Linked DNA regions of Anolis sagrei. The protein of the gene in region 1 binds, or shares a complex with, the protein of each later gene. Links are inferred from orthologs where the notes say so. Each region holds a gene or a part of one and is shown on either strand. Other genes may lie near its edges.

What was found.
Region 2: the proteins of NCAPH2 (region 1) and NCAPG2 are in contact, whole or in part, in a cryo-EM structure (PDB 9F5W), measured with the Homo sapiens proteins. The link is inferred for Anolis sagrei from reciprocal best matches to the Homo sapiens genes NCAPH2 and NCAPG2. Residues at the interface, in NP_689512.2 of Homo sapiens: Pro316, Trp317, Gln318, Ser319, Leu320, Pro322, Phe323, Asp324, Ser325, Leu326, Glu327, Ser328, Lys329, Pro330, Phe331, Lys332, Lys333, Gly334, Arg335, Pro336, Tyr337, Ser338, Val339, Glu344, Gln360, Asp361, Phe362, Gln364, Trp365, Tyr366; in NP_001268861.1 of Homo sapiens: Lys248, Leu251, Gln252, His292, Ile294, His295, Leu296, Pro297, Arg299, Ser300, Val302, Lys340, Ala341, Arg342, Asn343, Ser344, Glu345, Val346, Pro388, Tyr389, Pro390, Arg393, Gly425, Glu426, Ala428, Phe429, Asp430, Thr431, Ser432, Arg437.

Annotation. Positions count from the first base shown.
Region 1 is NC_090025.1:198,024,175-198,031,660, forward strand, and holds the start of NCAPH2 (condensin-2 complex subunit H2), read right to left. Parts: upstream 3,572-7,486; 5' UTR 3,403-3,571; intron 3,390-3,402; exon of another isoform or gene 2,741-3,389; intron 1,125-2,740; 5' UTR 1,045-1,124; coding exon 928-1,044; intron 1-927. Other genes in the region: LMF2 (lipase maturation factor 2), read left to right, coding at 5,060-5,162. UniProt on the Homo sapiens protein: Regulatory subunit of the condensin-2 complex, a complex that seems to provide chromosomes with an additional level of organization and rigidity and in establishing mitotic chromosome architecture.
Region 2 is NC_090026.1:118,100,516-118,108,965, reverse strand, and holds the start of NCAPG2 (condensin-2 complex subunit G2), read right to left. Parts: upstream 3,265-8,450; 5' UTR 3,149-3,264; intron 1-3,148. UniProt on the Homo sapiens protein: Regulatory subunit of the condensin-2 complex, a complex which establishes mitotic chromosome architecture and is involved in physical rigidity of the chromatid axis.

The sequences.
Region 1 (7,486 bases):
CACAATTCAAAGTGCTGGTTTTGACCTACAAAACCCTATACGGTTCTGGCCCAGTCTGATCAGATCTCCCTCTACGTCCCACCCCGGAGTCTAAGATCTTCTGTGGAGGCCCTGCTCTCGACCCTGCCTCTATCACAAGTGAGATTGGCGGGGACGAGGAGCAGGGCCTTCTCGGTGGTGGCCCCTCACCTGTGGAATTCACTCCCCGGGGAAATTAGATCTGCAACATCGCTCCTTTCCTTACGAAAAAACTGAAAACATGGATTTGGGACCAGGCATTCGGACAACTGGGCAGATAAAGAAAGGACTTTGACAATGGTCAGGAAATGATTAATGGAATAGAACTATGGAACTCTGAAAAACAAAACGCTGAGCATGAGAATAGTTTTTATATGATATGTTATATACTGATTGCTTTGATTGTTTTAACTGTGATAATTGTCTTAAATATGGAATTGTACATTATGTGTAATTTGTATAGGCATCGAATTGTGCCTTTTTTGTAAGCCGCCCTGAGTCCCCCCTCAGGGGTTGAGAAGGGCGGGGTAGAAGTACCCGGAATAAATAAAATAAATAAATTTGAGGCACCAATGGAGAGAGTCAGAACCCATCTGAAGGGAAGAGACCTGATGGCCTAAAAAGAAGGACTGACATGTTTTAGACTTCTTTGACATCCTCTGCTGCTTTTGTTTCTCCACCTCCTTTTTTGAGAGAGAAGCATCAACTTTCTACCTGCTTGAATCCATCAGGCTGAAATATACAAAACTGCAGGCTTTGGGGAACTCGAAAAACCTCACATTTGTTTTCCTTCCATTCAATCACAATGAAAACACCAGTGGGCTTGGAAACTCGTGTAAAAGCTTTGCATGCCTTCCGATCGGTTGAATGAAGCCGCCCCCAGTGTTTGTTTTGGGTTCTGAACCTCACCTCCTCCAGGTATTCTCCCAGCTGAGATGCCACATCGACCTCCCAGTTCTTGGTGAGGTCCCGAATGGGCTGCAGGAAGTGCATGAAGCGGGACTCGGCGTCTTCCATGGCGGCCATTCCCCACCAGGCCAGAAACGCAATCAAACACCATCAAACGAAGGCATTTGGGCCTTGGAGGGTTCCAGCTTGGACTACACCTGAAAGGTAAACATTCAGGTTAGGAGCACATCGAAACACGGGAGAATGGAGAAGGTCTGGAGAGCATGAATCTCTCTGACGAGCTGCCAAAGCAGGTCTGGGCAAACTTCGGCCCTCCCTCCAGGTGTTTTGGACTCCAACTCCCACAATTCCTAACAGCCGATAGGCTGTTAGGAATTGTGGGAGTTGAAGTCCAAAACACCTGGAGGGTTGAAGTTTGCTTTGTTGTCAAAAGCTTCTATGGTCGGAATCACTGGGTTGCTGTGAGTTTTCCAGGCTGTCCAGGCATGTTCCAGCAGCATTCTCTCCTGATGTTTCACCTCTTCAGAGATTCTGTTGGAAATGAGGCAAGTGGACTGTCTGTATCCCTGTGGAATAATGTCCAGAGTGGAAGAAAGAACCCTTGTCTGTTGAAGCAAGCATGAATGTTGTAATTGCCAAGCTTGATGAGCATTAAGTTGCCATGAAGCTGCAAAGTCAATCAGTGAGGATATCTGTATAGAGGTAGCCTGGCCTCTATTGCCTGGAGGCACCCTTTGGTTGGGAAGTGTTAACTGGCCCTTGATTGTTTGCAGTCTGGTGTCCTCCTTTTTCTGAGTGGTGTTCCTTATTTACTTTCTTGATTCTAGTGTTTTTTTAAATACCGGTAACCAGATTTTTAAATACTGCTAACCAGACTGATTGATAACTGACAAAGAGAGGGAGAAAACGTGGAGGCAGTGTTGTTGTTGTTTATTTGTTCAGTCTCTTCCGACACTTGGTGCCCTCCTGGACCAGCCCAGGGCAGAGCTCCCTATCAGCCGTGACCACCCCCTGAGGCTGCTTCAGAGTGATGCCAGTCACTTCAAGTACACCATCCACCCACCTTGCCCTTGGTCAGCCCCCCTTCCTTTTCCCTTCTATTTCCCCCAGCATCATTCTCTTCTCTAAGCTTTCCTGTTTTCTCATGATATGGCCCTTCATCTTTGTATTGTTGGAGGCTTTCTGGCTGGAATCACTGGGTTGTTGTAGGTTTTTCAGGCTATATGGCCATGTTCTAGAAGCATTCTCTCCTGACGTTTCGCCTGCATCTATGGCAGGCATCCTCAGAGGTTGTGAGGTTGTGACCTCACAAGCTCTGAGGATGCTTGCCATAGATGCAGGCGAAACGTCAGGAGAGAATGCTTCTAGAACATGGCCATATAGCCTGAAAAACCTACAACCCTCACAACCTCTGAGGATGCCTGTCATAGATGCAGGCGAAACGTCAGGAGAGAATGCTTCTAGAACATGGCCATATAGCCTGAAAAAACCTACAACCCTCACAACCTCTGAGGATGCCTGCCATAGATGCAGGCGAAACGTCAGGAGAGAATGCTTCTAGAACATGGCCATATAGCCCAAAAAACATACAACAACCCAGACTTCATCTTTGCCTCTACTATCCTTCCTTCCAGTGAGCAGTCGGGCTTTATTTCCTGGAGGATGGACTGGTTGGATCTTCTTGCGGTCCAAGGCACTCTCAGCACTTTCCTCCAACACCAGAGTTCCAAAGCATCTCTCTTCCTTTGCTCAGCCTTCCTTATGGAAGAGTGTGTTCAAGTAATCTATTCGGGATGTAACGAGATGTAATTACCAGTTGTCAATCACTCTGGTTACTAGTATTTACAGGAACCCCCGGTGGCGCAGTGGGTTAAACCCCTTTGACGGCAGGACTGACAGGTTGCTGGTTCGAATCCGGGGAGAGGCAGATGAGCTCCCTCCGTCAGCTCCAGCTCCTCATGCGGGAACATGAGAGTAGCCTCTCACAAGGATGATGAAAACATCAAAACATCAGAGTATCGTCCCCTGGGCAATGTCCTTGCAGACGGCCAATTCTCTCACACCAGAAGCGACTTGCAGTTTCTCAAAAAAAAAAAAAACCCCGCCGGAATCAAGACAGTAAATAAGGAACACCATTGAGAGACAGGAGAACACCAGACAGCAAGCAATCAAGGGCCAGTTAACCCCTCCCAAAGAGAGGGTGCCTCCAGGGCACAACAGCCAGGCTACCTCTATGCAGAGACGACCTCACTGGTTGACTTTGCAGCTTCATGGCTACTCAATGCTCATCAAGGACATTATTCCACAGGGATACAGACAATCCAACGGAATCTCTGAAGATAGCACTGGCAATAGATGCAGGCGAAACGTCAGGAGACAGTGCTGCTGGGTTTTGGAGTTGTAGTTCGCCTCACTGATGGGCCTGGCAGTCTTCGAGGCTTCTCAAGGCTATTCCAGCTGGAAAAGAGGCCTTACCTCGCTCGGCATTCCCTCTCAACGGAAGAAGGCTGGTTCTTTTCGTTTTTCCCGCCCGACGCGCCTCGTGACGCCATCCACAAGCGTCGACGGCGCCCAAAAGGTGACGTATAAGGAACGCGACGCAGAGTGACACCTCCCTCTTCCCTGCCTATTGTATCCACCTTGAAGCCACGCCCACAAGCTCGAAGCCACGCCTACAATGATGGAGGAACGTTGCCGCTTCAAGCCCCGCCCCCTTTTGGTTTCCAGGCCACGCCCCCTTCGGTGCTCCTCAGTCACTCTTTCTCGTCCCGCCCATCCCGCCCCTCATTGGTTAATTCTTCTCTCGGCGCCGCCTTTCTCGCGATTCTTAGCCAATCAGCGCCATCTTTGAGCGTTCTGAGCCCTACCCCGTGAAAGCGAGGCCAACGCCTTCTTGAGTCCCCGCCCCCTTCTCTGATTTGTTATTTCTTCCCTCAGTTGGAGACTCAGCCAATAAGCGTGCTGCTAACCGACGCCATGCCAGCCCTCCCCTTCGAGACGTAGCCAATCAGAGGCCAAAGCTTTGTAGAGTCCCCACCCCCTTCTCTGATTAGTTATTTCTTCCCTCGACTGGAGATTCAGCCAATCAGCGCGATAGCTTTCTGGAGCCCCGCCCCTTCGTTTGTCATTCGTTATTTCTTCCTTCAGTTGGAGATTCAGCCAATGAGCGTGCTGCTCACCGCCTCCGTGCCCGCCCTCTCCCTCGAGACGTAGCCAATCAGAGGCCAAAGCTTTGTAAAATCCCCGCCCTCTTCTCTGATTCGTTATTTCTTCCCTCAGTTGGAGATTCAACCAATAAGCGTGCTGCTCAATGCCTCTGTGCCCGCCCTCTCCCTCGAGACGTAGCCAATCAGGGCCCAAAGCTTTCTATTGTCCCCGCCCCCTTCTCCGATTCGTTATTTCTTCCCTCAGTTGGAGATTCAGCCAATGAGCTCGAGACGTAGCCAACCAGGGGCCAAAGCTTTGTAGAGTCCCCGCCCCCTTCTCTAATTCCTTATTTCTTCCCTCAGTTGGAGATTCAGCCAATGAGCGTGCTGCTCACAGCCTCCGTGCCCGCCTTCTCCTTCGAGACATAGCCAATCAGGGGCCAAAGCTTTGTATTATCCCCGCCCCCTTCTCTAATTCGTTATTTCTTCCCTCAGTTGGAGATTCAGCCAATGAGCGTGCTGCTCACCGCCTCCGTGCCCGCCTTCTCCTTCGAGACATAGCCAATCAGGGGGCAAAGCTTTGTATTATCCCCGCCCTCTTCTCTGATTCGTTATTTCTTCCCTCAGTTGGAGATTCAGCCAATGAGCGTGCTGCTCACCGCCTCCGTGCCCGCCCTTCCCTCGAGACGTAGCCAATCAGGGGTCAAAGCTCTGTAGAGTCCCCGCCCTCTTCTCTGATTCGTTATTTCTGGAGATTCATCCAATCAGCGCGACCCCCGGGCGTTCTGAGCTCTCTCTCCTCTGTCAAAGCAAGGCCCAAGCTTTCTGGAGCCACGCCCCTTCGTTTCCGATTGGTTACTTCTCCGTAGGCCACGCCCTCCCAGTGGAGCTGGACCAATGGGCGCTCTTCTGGGAGTTGGGATCCCACCCCCGCGGCCTGAGGGGATTTTTTGGGAAGCGGTGTGGAAGGAAGGACGGGAGTCGCCATGGCGGGCGCGGAGGGTCAGCGTCTCTCCCGGCAGCTCTTCCTGGCCGGCCTCGCCGCCGCCTTCCTCGCCGCCTTCGCCTCGCTCTACCTCCAGGCCCCCGGTGAGCAGACCTGCATCGATAGAGATATAGCTATACCAGGCCTGGGCCAACTTGGGCCTTCCTCCAGGGGTTTTGGACTCCAACTCCCACAATTCCTAACAGCCTAGCGGCTGTTAGGAATTGTGGGAGTTGGAGTCCAAAACCCCTGGAGGAAGGCCCAAGTTGGCCCAGGCCTGCAATAAAAATACAATACATGAATGAATTTCATACATAAAAGCAATATATAAATATATGATATATGTGTGTATATATATATATATATATATAATGAAAATATAGTGTATGTTCTTATCTATGAAAGTTAATTATTTATTGTGTTTTTGTTGTAAAATTACATTTGACTTTAAATACAATATATATATATATATAATAAATAAAATAAATATATAATAAAATGTATAATATGTATGTAATATATATATATTGATGAGCATTGAGTAGCCATGAAGCTGCAAAGTCAATCAGTGAGGGTCTCTGCATAGAGGTAGCCTGGCCTCTATTGCCTGGAGGCACCCTCTCTTTGGGAGAGTCCTTTTTTTAGGCTTATACTAAAGTCTCCCCTGGCTTATACTGGAGTCAATGTTATTTATTATTTTACTTTGTTGTTGTTATTATTATTATTATTGCATTTATTATTTATTATTGTTGTTATTACATTTATTACTTTAATCTATTATTATTATTATTATTTTACTCTATTTATTATTATTGGACATGTAAGCTTGGGTAACCACGGAAAAATTTGGTTCTAAACCCGTTTTGTTTTTAGGGGGCCCTTGCGTTTCGTTTTTTTTTTTTTTAAAGAATTCCAAAATTCGTGATTCGTGAATGGCGGACGCGATTGCGCAATATGCTAAAAAAAAACCCTCCAAATGGGACAGGGGGAACTTCTGAAGTTTCCCTCTCCCTCTGTTGTTGATTGTTGGTGTGATAAAACAAACAACAACTATAAAACTTGCACCAGACATGCGAAAATAATTATGAAATATTTATTTATTTATTTATTTACTGCGCTTATATACCGCAATTCTCAGCCCAGGGGCGACTCATTGCGGTGTACAACATAGAAAAACAGGTGCAAAATACAAGACATAGTGCAAATACAATCCATAATTCATCATTATCAAAAACCTCCTAATCAAAAACATCAACATTACTACAAAAGCCATTCCATGTCGTCTCATCGTCAAACCCACAATCCGATATCATTTCCATTGTTCCGTTCCTATGGTCAAATTATCAATCATTGCACTTCTTGTTCAAATGCCTTCTTAAACAGCCAGGTCTTTAATTTCCTGCGGAATATCAACAGGGAGGGAGCTAGCCTGATGTCCACAGGAAGGGTGTTCCACAGCCGTGGCACCACCACCGAGAAGGCCCTATTTTTACGAAATTAGGAAACAATTACGAAATAAATTGAAACAATTGTTTCGAATCTAATTTACTCCTCACACTATTCCTGCATGGCTCAATATTGGATCATAAGCTAATTTAAATACGAATTAATAACGAATTACGAAATTAACGAACGAAACCGCCCAAGCCTAGTAAGCATATTTATATTGATGAAGGTAATAATAATGGTTTAATCAGAGTTAGACAGTCTTATCTTGAATTACAGTTTTATGTAAATATTCAAAAACATTTAACCTACTAATGCCTAAATTAATATAATGTTATTGGTATCTATTTTTATTTTGAAATTTACTAGTAGCTGCTGCATTTCCCACCCTCGGCTTATATTCGAGTCAATACATTTTCCCAGTTTTTTGTGGTAAAATTAGATGCCTCAGCTTATATTCGGGTCGGTGTATACTCAAGTATATACGGTATTTATGATAATAACATACAATATATTTCCATGTGATAGCTGTCCCCTGCCATGCGTTGCTGTGGCCCAGTCTGGTGCTCTGGAAAATGAAGTAATGAGAAAGTGTTGGTTTCTAATATATGTAATTGTCTGTCTTCTTGTGGGTAAACAGAATTTCTTGCTGTTTCTTTGTCAGTGTAGATATGGAGAGTGTCTGGTTTGCCTACTCTGGAATATGCAACATATCATAGTCCTTCTTTAAGGGTCCCTTTCAAATCTATAATACTTTATCTGTGTGTGTGTGAATCATATATATCTATCTATATCTATTGCTGGATGGCTCTCTGTCAGGAGGGCTTTGATTACGTTTTCTTGCCCTGATGAAGGGAGTTGGATTGGATGGCCTTAAGTATTTTCTGTTCTCTGTGTGGGAAGTTTGCCCTGATTCTGTCGTTCGTGGAGTTGTAGGTGAACTGTGAATCCCAGTGACTACAACTCCCAAATGTCAAGGTCT
Region 2 (8,450 bases), on another chromosome or scaffold:
CACGGCTTCGTGGGAAGCAGAAATTCCAGGGTAGATGTAATGCTTTCATGTCTGTTTATTAATGAGCTAATGGGCACCTTGCTCTTCAGTTCAGGCAACATGGCGTTCAAGTTAATAGCTGCACCTGGCTCTCTCGTTTCAAGCCTTGGTTTTTGATCCAAGTATCTCATGGTCTTGTTTTGCATTCCTGTTCCAAGTATTGCTCATGGTTTTGGATCTTAGTGTACTCGAACTATCTTTGGACTATTTTACCCTTGGATTTACAAGAGAGAATTGATTACCAACTACTTGGATTAAATACCTGATTTCTTTATTGCTGTTTTTTTCCTATATATATCTTTTTGTGTGTTTTACAATAAACTGTTTGCTTCTATCTTGGACTCTTGTGTGATGCTGTGGTCATAGGTGGCTTCAGTTCCGTGCTGTGACAGGGATCAATCTAAGTCCATTTATTCATAGACTAAGAGCAGCATTGGAAAAGAATAAACCTCACTTTTCCCCAGATAGAAAATCGAATTGGTTTTGTTAGCTGCCTTGGGACTGCAGAGTACTAACATTCAACAGAATAAACAAGTAGTAAAGTTACTGTGGTAGGACTATTAATTCTGGCTTGCGTGCTTTCGAGTCTCATCTGACTTATGGCAAGCCTAGGGTTTCTTGGCAAGTTTTGCTTTGCCTTCGTTGAAGGCAAATGGGTTTCCACAGCTGATTGGATATTTGAACCCTGGTCTCTAATTCTACTCTCAAGCCACTATACCACATTTATTCATTTACTATATTTATATACCACTACTCTCAACCTGGAGGCGACTCAAGGCAGTGTTTTGCTCTCTAGTGCTAGTAATCCATGTGCATGGACAAACTTTGGCCCTCCAGGTGTGTGTGTATATATAGAGAGAGAGAAAGAGAGAGAGACCCCGGTGGCGCAGTAGGTTAAACCGCTGAGCTGTTGAATTCACTGACCGAAAAGTCAGTTCAAATCTAGGAAGCGGGGTGAGCTCCCACTACTAGCCTCAGCTTCCGCCAATCTAGGAATTTGAAAACATTCAAATGTGAGTAGATCAATAGGTACCACTTCTGTGGGAAGGTAACAGCGCATCATGCAGTCATGCCGGCCACATGACCTTGGAGGTGTCTATGGACAATGTCGGCTCTTCATCTTAGAAATGGAAAAGAGCACCATCTGCTAGAGTTGGACACGACTAGACTTCATATCAAGGGGAAACATTTACCTTTATATATGTGTGTGTGTGTTTTCTGCTTCCTAATGGGAGGCGGGTATTCACAACGAGGTTTGTTTGTTCCTTTCATAATAGCAAACTTATCCTGCATGTTATTCCACAGAAACATGGGGTATATTATTTATTTCCTAAAATCAGAAAACAGCCCTGAAACCACCAATGTTATCTTTTAAAACTCAGCAGAGGAAGCAACAGGCTAGTAGGAAGAAAGAATGAAGAATTACATGGCAACATGTAATGGTAAGAAAGGAAGGTAGAGAACATGACAGTGTGTGCTCATACTTTTCTATGGTGTAGTGATTGGAGCACTGTCTAGGGAGCATCTACACTGCAAAATTAACGCAGTTTGATACCACTTTAACTGCCATGAGTTCCTAGGATTTGTAGCTTGGGGAAGCACCAGCATTCTATGGCAGAGAAGACTATAGACCTTGCAAAACGACAATTCCCATAATTCCATAGTAATGAAAGTGATATAGAACTGCATTAATTCTACAGTGTAGATGCTAGGGGGGCTCAATGCTGGGATTTGTAGTTTGGCGGGGCACCAACACTCTTTAGCAGAGAAGACTCCAGACCTGGCAAAACCACAACTCCCATAATTCCATAGCAGTAAAAGTGATATAGAACTGCATTAATTCTACAGTGTAGATGCTAGGGGGGCTCAATGCTGGGATTTGTAGTTTGGCGGGGTACCAACACTCTTTAGCAGAGAAGACTCCAGACCTGGCAAAACCACAACTCCCATAATTCCATAGCAGTAAAAGTGATATAGAACTGCATTAATTCTAGTGTAGATGCTAGGGGGGCTCAATGCTGGGATTTGTAGTTTGGCGGGGCACCAACACTCTTTAGCAGAGAAGACTCCAGACCTGGCAAAACCACAACTCCCATAATTCCATAGCAGTAAAAGTGATATAGAACTGCATTAATTCTACAGTGTAGATGCTAGGGGGGCTCAATGCTGGGATTTGTAGTTTGGCGGGGCACCAACACTCTTTAGCAGAGAAGACTCCAGACCTGGCAAAACCACAACTCCCATAATTCCATAGCAGTAAAAGTGATATAGAACTGCATTAATTCTACAGTGTAGATGCTAGGGGGGCTCAATGCTGGGATTTGTAGTTTGGCGGGGTACCAACACTCTTTAGCAGAGAAGACTCCAGACCTGGCAAAACAACAACTCCCATAATTCCATAGCAGTGAAAGTGGTACAGAACTGCATTAATTCTACAGTGTAGATGCTAGGGGGGCTCCATGCTGGGATTTGTAGTTTGGCGGGGCACCAACACTCTTTAGCAGAGAAGACTCCAGACCTGGCAAAACGACAACTCCCATAATTCCATAGCAGTGAAAGTGGTACAGAACTGCATTAATTCTACAGTGTAAATGCTAGGGGGGCTCAATGCTGGGATTTGTAGTTTGGCGAGGCACCAACACTCTTTAGCAGGGGAGACTCCAGACCTTGCAAAACAACGACTCCCATAATTCCATAGCAGTGAAAGTGGTACAGAACTGCATTAATTCTACAGTGTAGATGCTAGGGGGCATCTACACTGCTGTTGCTCAATGCTGGGATTTGTAGTTTGGCGGGGCACCAACACTCTTTAGCAGGGGGGACTACAGACCTTGCAAAGTAACAATTCCATAACAGTGGAAGTGGTATAGAACTGCAATAATTCTACAGTGTAGATGCACCCTCTGAGCAATTGGAATTCGTTGAAAACAAAGGGGGGGAAATGGAAGGAGAGTCTGTTTACAAACCTAAAAAGCTTCCTAGCAAGGACCGGATTCGGCTCCCAAATCCCCTTCCTGGAAATATCTAACTTGCCTGCCAACAATTCAATATATGTATATGACTTATCCCTTTTCAAAGAGAGTATACACAAAAACACGCCCGCCCTTACCCTAAAATTCTCGTTTTCAAACTCGCAACGAAGAATCCATCTCTCCGATTTGGCGCTTTCTCGCGGGACCGTTCAAATTCTCCCGCGGGCGGCGCCACTAAACACCGCCCTTCTACACTCACTGCGCACGCGCCCGCTCTAAATGGCTGGAAAGGGAGACGACTGACGAAAGAAAGCGGCGAAAGGAGGGTTCCTCCTCCGGATCCCCTGCTGCGCATGCGCACTAGTGCTTGACTTGCTGCAAGTAGGACAAAGCTGCACTCTGCAGTCAAAACAGGTTAAAAGTATCAAAGTTCAATGCAGTCGCCTCCGGGAACTATAGGATGAGGAATTGCAACGGTGAAATAAATATTTGCATTTAATTATGCATTTATTAAATATTTTGAAAATTGTATCAGTCCAGAAAACAAAGGGTATGTCTACACTGTAGAATTAACACAGTTTGATACCACTTGGGCTGCCATGGCTGAGTGCTGTGGAATCCTGGGAGTTATAGTTTGACAAGGCTTTTACCTTTCTCTGCAGGGAGTGATGCTGCCCCAGCAAAGGGTCCCTTGGCACTGAGCCATGGCAATTAAAGTGGTGTCAAACTGAATTAATTCTACAATGTGGATGCAACCCAGTTCAATGAATGACTAGCCGTCCCCTACCACGCATTGCTGTGACCCAGTCTGTGTATATGTGTTTTGTGTGTGTATATGTGTGTGTATATATTTGTGTATATATGTATGTATGTATATATATATGTGTGTGTCTGTGTGCATATATGTGTGTGTGGTTTTCAGTGTTTTTATGAATGACTAGCCATCCCCTGCCACGTGTTGCTGTGGCCCAGTCTGTGCATATGTGTTTTGTGTGTGTATATGTGTGTGTATATATTTGTGTATATGTATGTGTGTGTGTGTGTTTTTAGTGTTTTTATGAATGACTAGCTGTCCCCTGCCACGCATTGCTGTGGCCCAATCTGTGTATATGTGTTTTGTGTGTGTATATGTGTGTGTATATATTTGTGTATATGTATATGTGTGTTTGCATATATATGTGTGTTTTTAGTGTTTTTATGAATGACTAGCCATCCCCTGCCGCGCTTTGCTGTGGCCCAGTCTGTGCACATGTGTTTTGTGTGTGTATATGTGTGTGTATATATTTGTGTATATGTATATGTATGTATGTGTGTGTGTGTTTGCATATATATGTGTGTGTTTTTTTAGTGTTTTTATGAATGACTAGCCGTCCCCTGCCACGCGTTGCTGTGGCCCAATCTGTGTATATGTCTTTTGTGTGTGTATATGTGTGTGTATATATTTGTGTATATGTATATGTGTGTGTGTGTGTGTGTGTGTGTGTGTTTGCATATATATGTGTGTGGTTTTCAGTGTTTTTATGAATGACTAGCCGTCCCCTGCCACGCGTTGCTGTGGCCCAATCTGTGTATATGTCTTTTGTGTGTGTATATGTGTGTGTATATATTTGTGTATATGTATATGTATGTGTGTGTGTGTGTGTCTGTTTGCATATATGTGTGTGTGGTTTTCATTGTTTTTATGAATGACTAGCTATCCCCTGCCACGCGTTGCTGTCGCCCAGTCTGTGTATATGTGTTTTGTGTGTGTATATGTGTATGTATATATATGCGTGTTTGCATATATATATGTGGTTTTGTGCAAGCATTGTAATGTATTTTTTATTTTTACTTTTTAAGTCTCTTCTGCTGTGTATTTCAGTGTTTTTATGAGTGTCGGTCACTTGTTGGCCTGATATGTGTATTGTGTCCAAATTTGGTGTAAATACGTCCAGTAGTTTTTGAGTTATGTTAATCCCACAAATATACATTACATTTTTATTTATATAGATGTGCTGTTGAAGGCTTTCATGGCTGGAATCACTGGGTTGCTGTGAGTTTTCCAGGCTGTATGGCCATGTTCCAGAAGCATTCTCTCCTGACATTTTGCCTGCATCTATGTCATGCATCTTCAGAGGTTGTGAGGTCTATTGGAAACTAGGCAAGTGGGGTTTATATATTTGTGGAATATTCAGGGTGGGAGAAATAACTCTTGTCTGTTTGATGCAGGTGTGAATGCTGCAATTGCCCACCAATCAGCAGGCAAAGGAACCAGTCAGTGGGCACACGTGCAGTGAGTGTAGAAGGGTGGTATATAGTGGCACCGTCCGTGGGAAAAATGGGAACTCCAGACAAGAAACAATCAGGGACAGCTAGTCACCCCTTGACAAAGGATTCCCCCAGGCAGTAAGACACACCTGAAACTGGCAGGCCATTGAATACTAATCAAGGAGGCCAATTGCAACATTCACACCTACCTCCAACAGACAAGAGTTCTTTTTCCCAGGCTGGATATTCCACAAATGTATAAACCCTATTTTCTAGTTTTCAACAGACAACCTCTGAGGATGCCTGCCATAGACACAGGTGAAATGTCAGGAGGGAATGCTTCTGGAACATGGCCATGCAGCCCAGAAAACACACAACAACCCACCTATATGGATGTATGTTTGTTCCATCAAGGCTCCTACATGGCTTCATGGATCCCTACCTAGCTTGGCACATGTATCCTTCATTATCCAACTTAAAATCTTGGCCAGGTTTCAGCTACAAACACTCACCCCATTGGGGGTTAGGAACCCCAAAACAAGTAATTATGTATATATGCATGCAGTACTCAGAGGCAACCACAAGAGGGCAGTATAGATAGGCTGCCTAAGAGAGGCAACAAATGTAAGGTAACTACAGCACCAGCAGAGTTAACGTGTGCTGAGAAGCTGAATCTTGAAACTTTTATAAACCCACTAGCACAGTGTTCCTCAAACTTCCTGATGCCATGACCCCTTAATACAGTTCCTCATGTTGTGGTGACCCCCAACCATAAAATTATTTTTGTTGCTACTTCATAACTGTAGTTTTGCTCCTGATATGAATCATAACGTAAATATCTGATATGCAGGGTGTATTTTCATTCATTGGACCAAATTTGGCACAAATATCCGATACGCCAAAATTTGAATACTGATGGGGTTAGAGGGGATTGATTTTGTCATTTGGGAGTTATAGTTGCTGGGATTTATAGTTCACCTACAATCAAAGAACATTCGGAACTCCACCAATGATCGAATTGAACCAAAGTTGGTACACATAACTCCCATGACCAACAGAAAATACTGGAAGGGTTTGGTGGGCATTGAACTTGAGTTTTGGAGTTGTAGTTCACCTACATCCAGAGTGTACTGTGGACACAAACAATAATGGATCTGGACCAAACTTGGCAGGAATACTCAAATATGCCCAAATGTGAACACTGGTGGAGTTTGGGGAAAATAGACCTTGACATTTGGGAGTTGTAGTTGATGGGATTTATAGTTCACCTACAATCAAAGAGCATTATGAAACCCACCAATGACAGAATTGGACCAAACTTCCCACACAGAATCCCCATAACCAACAGAAAATACTGCGTTTTCTGATGGTCTTTGATGACCCCTCTGACACCCAAAGGGGTCCCGACCCCCAGGTTGAGAAACACTGTCATAGATTCTCAGCTGGTTCAACATAGTTTGTGGCAGCCACAAAAACAAAGTTCTGAAGTATTACAATTTGTTTCAAAGTAAGTATCACACAATTAAACAGGGAAATAACACTTTGAAACCAGAACATTTTTCAAATTTTATTACATAATGTTATTGTCATCATTACTAATAATTTGACATTGCATATTAAGCAGAGTATTTTTATTTCAGTAGTTCTGCATTAAAAAGAGAAAAAGTGACAAGGAAATCACAGCAGGTTGAATAATACGAAACATCAGCAATATGCCAGAAAACCCAAAGGTAGACACATGTAGGACTTTTGTGATTTTTCTCAGGATCACAAGTACAAGTAATAACGAGCCCACCACCCATTGTCAGGGTTTTTTTTAAAAAAGGTGCCCTCTTTCAACAACGCCCCCGTTTTGACAGGTCTGTGTGTCACTCTGGAATAATCTATACCTTTTATATTAATCTCGCAGTCATTATCGTCGTCCTGTCAAATCGAGTTAAAGCAATCTCAGGAAGGCGGCTTTCCATGCGGCGTTGCTGAGCGACGGCAAATGCAGTTTTGCTTCCATGCTGTCTTTTCATCAGGCCGGATCACGTTTCCTTCCCCTTAAATGAGCCTTCTTACTAGCTGTCAAGGAGACTCAAATGCCTCGGGCAAACCATTGTAATTTATTATTATTATTATTCATTACTGTTATCAACAGTATTACGAGTAAAATATTCCCTGTGATACTGTACAGCAGATAGCTGGAGAATTTCTTTTGATGGTATACCATGCCTGGCCCTTCAGGGATAGCTATTTTGACGCGAGAATCAGTTTTATTTTACACACACTTGACTTGAGCTGTGAGACCCTTTGAGAATTGTAAGTTATGCTATAGGAAAGTTTATTTTATATTCCACCAAGTAAACCCTTTTAGTATGTTTCTTTATCATTCACATTTAATTACAGCCTCCTTCCATTTCTATTTCTTTCATTTATTATACATTTTATATCCCACTTTGCTGGGATGGATAGAGCAGCAATAATATTTAGTTTTAGATGAACTTTTATTTTGCACATGTATACGCAAGTATTGTTATTTAAAACCACATTCCCTGCCATTTAGGGTGCAGAATATAATAATAAAACTTTATTTATATACAGCCCTATCTCCCCAAGACCACTTGGGGAGATAGGGCTGTATCTCCATGACTAATAGATAATACTGTATTTTCTGATGATCTTGGTGACCCCTCTGATACTCCCTGGTGACCCCCCAGGGGTCCCAACCCCCAGGTTGAGAAACACTGGTATAGGGCTTTATAGGTAATAACCTGCACTTTGAATTGGGCCCGGAAACTCATCGGCAGCCAGTGGAGCTGCTTTAATAGGGGCATGGTATGCTTCCTATAACCAGCCCCAGTTAGTAATCTGGCTGCCGACCTTTGCACTAACTGCAGCTTCTGAGCCATAGTAGTCTTAAGAATATAATGTCCACCTTCCCAATGTGCCATATTCACTTCCTTCCCATTCAGGAAAATGGAGAACCATAACTAGAATTGAAACTATTTTAAAATATACACTTAAAACAAAATAAACTGGAAATCTGGGGAATGTGCCACATCCCTGTCTTCCTGAGCAACAGCTGATCAATAAAACGTAATCTACAAAACACTCAGTTGTCATCAGGGGTAGTGAATATGCATAACTTTGAAGGCACTTGTATGCTACCCGTTGCATGCATGGAAGAGTCCACATACACTATATTCC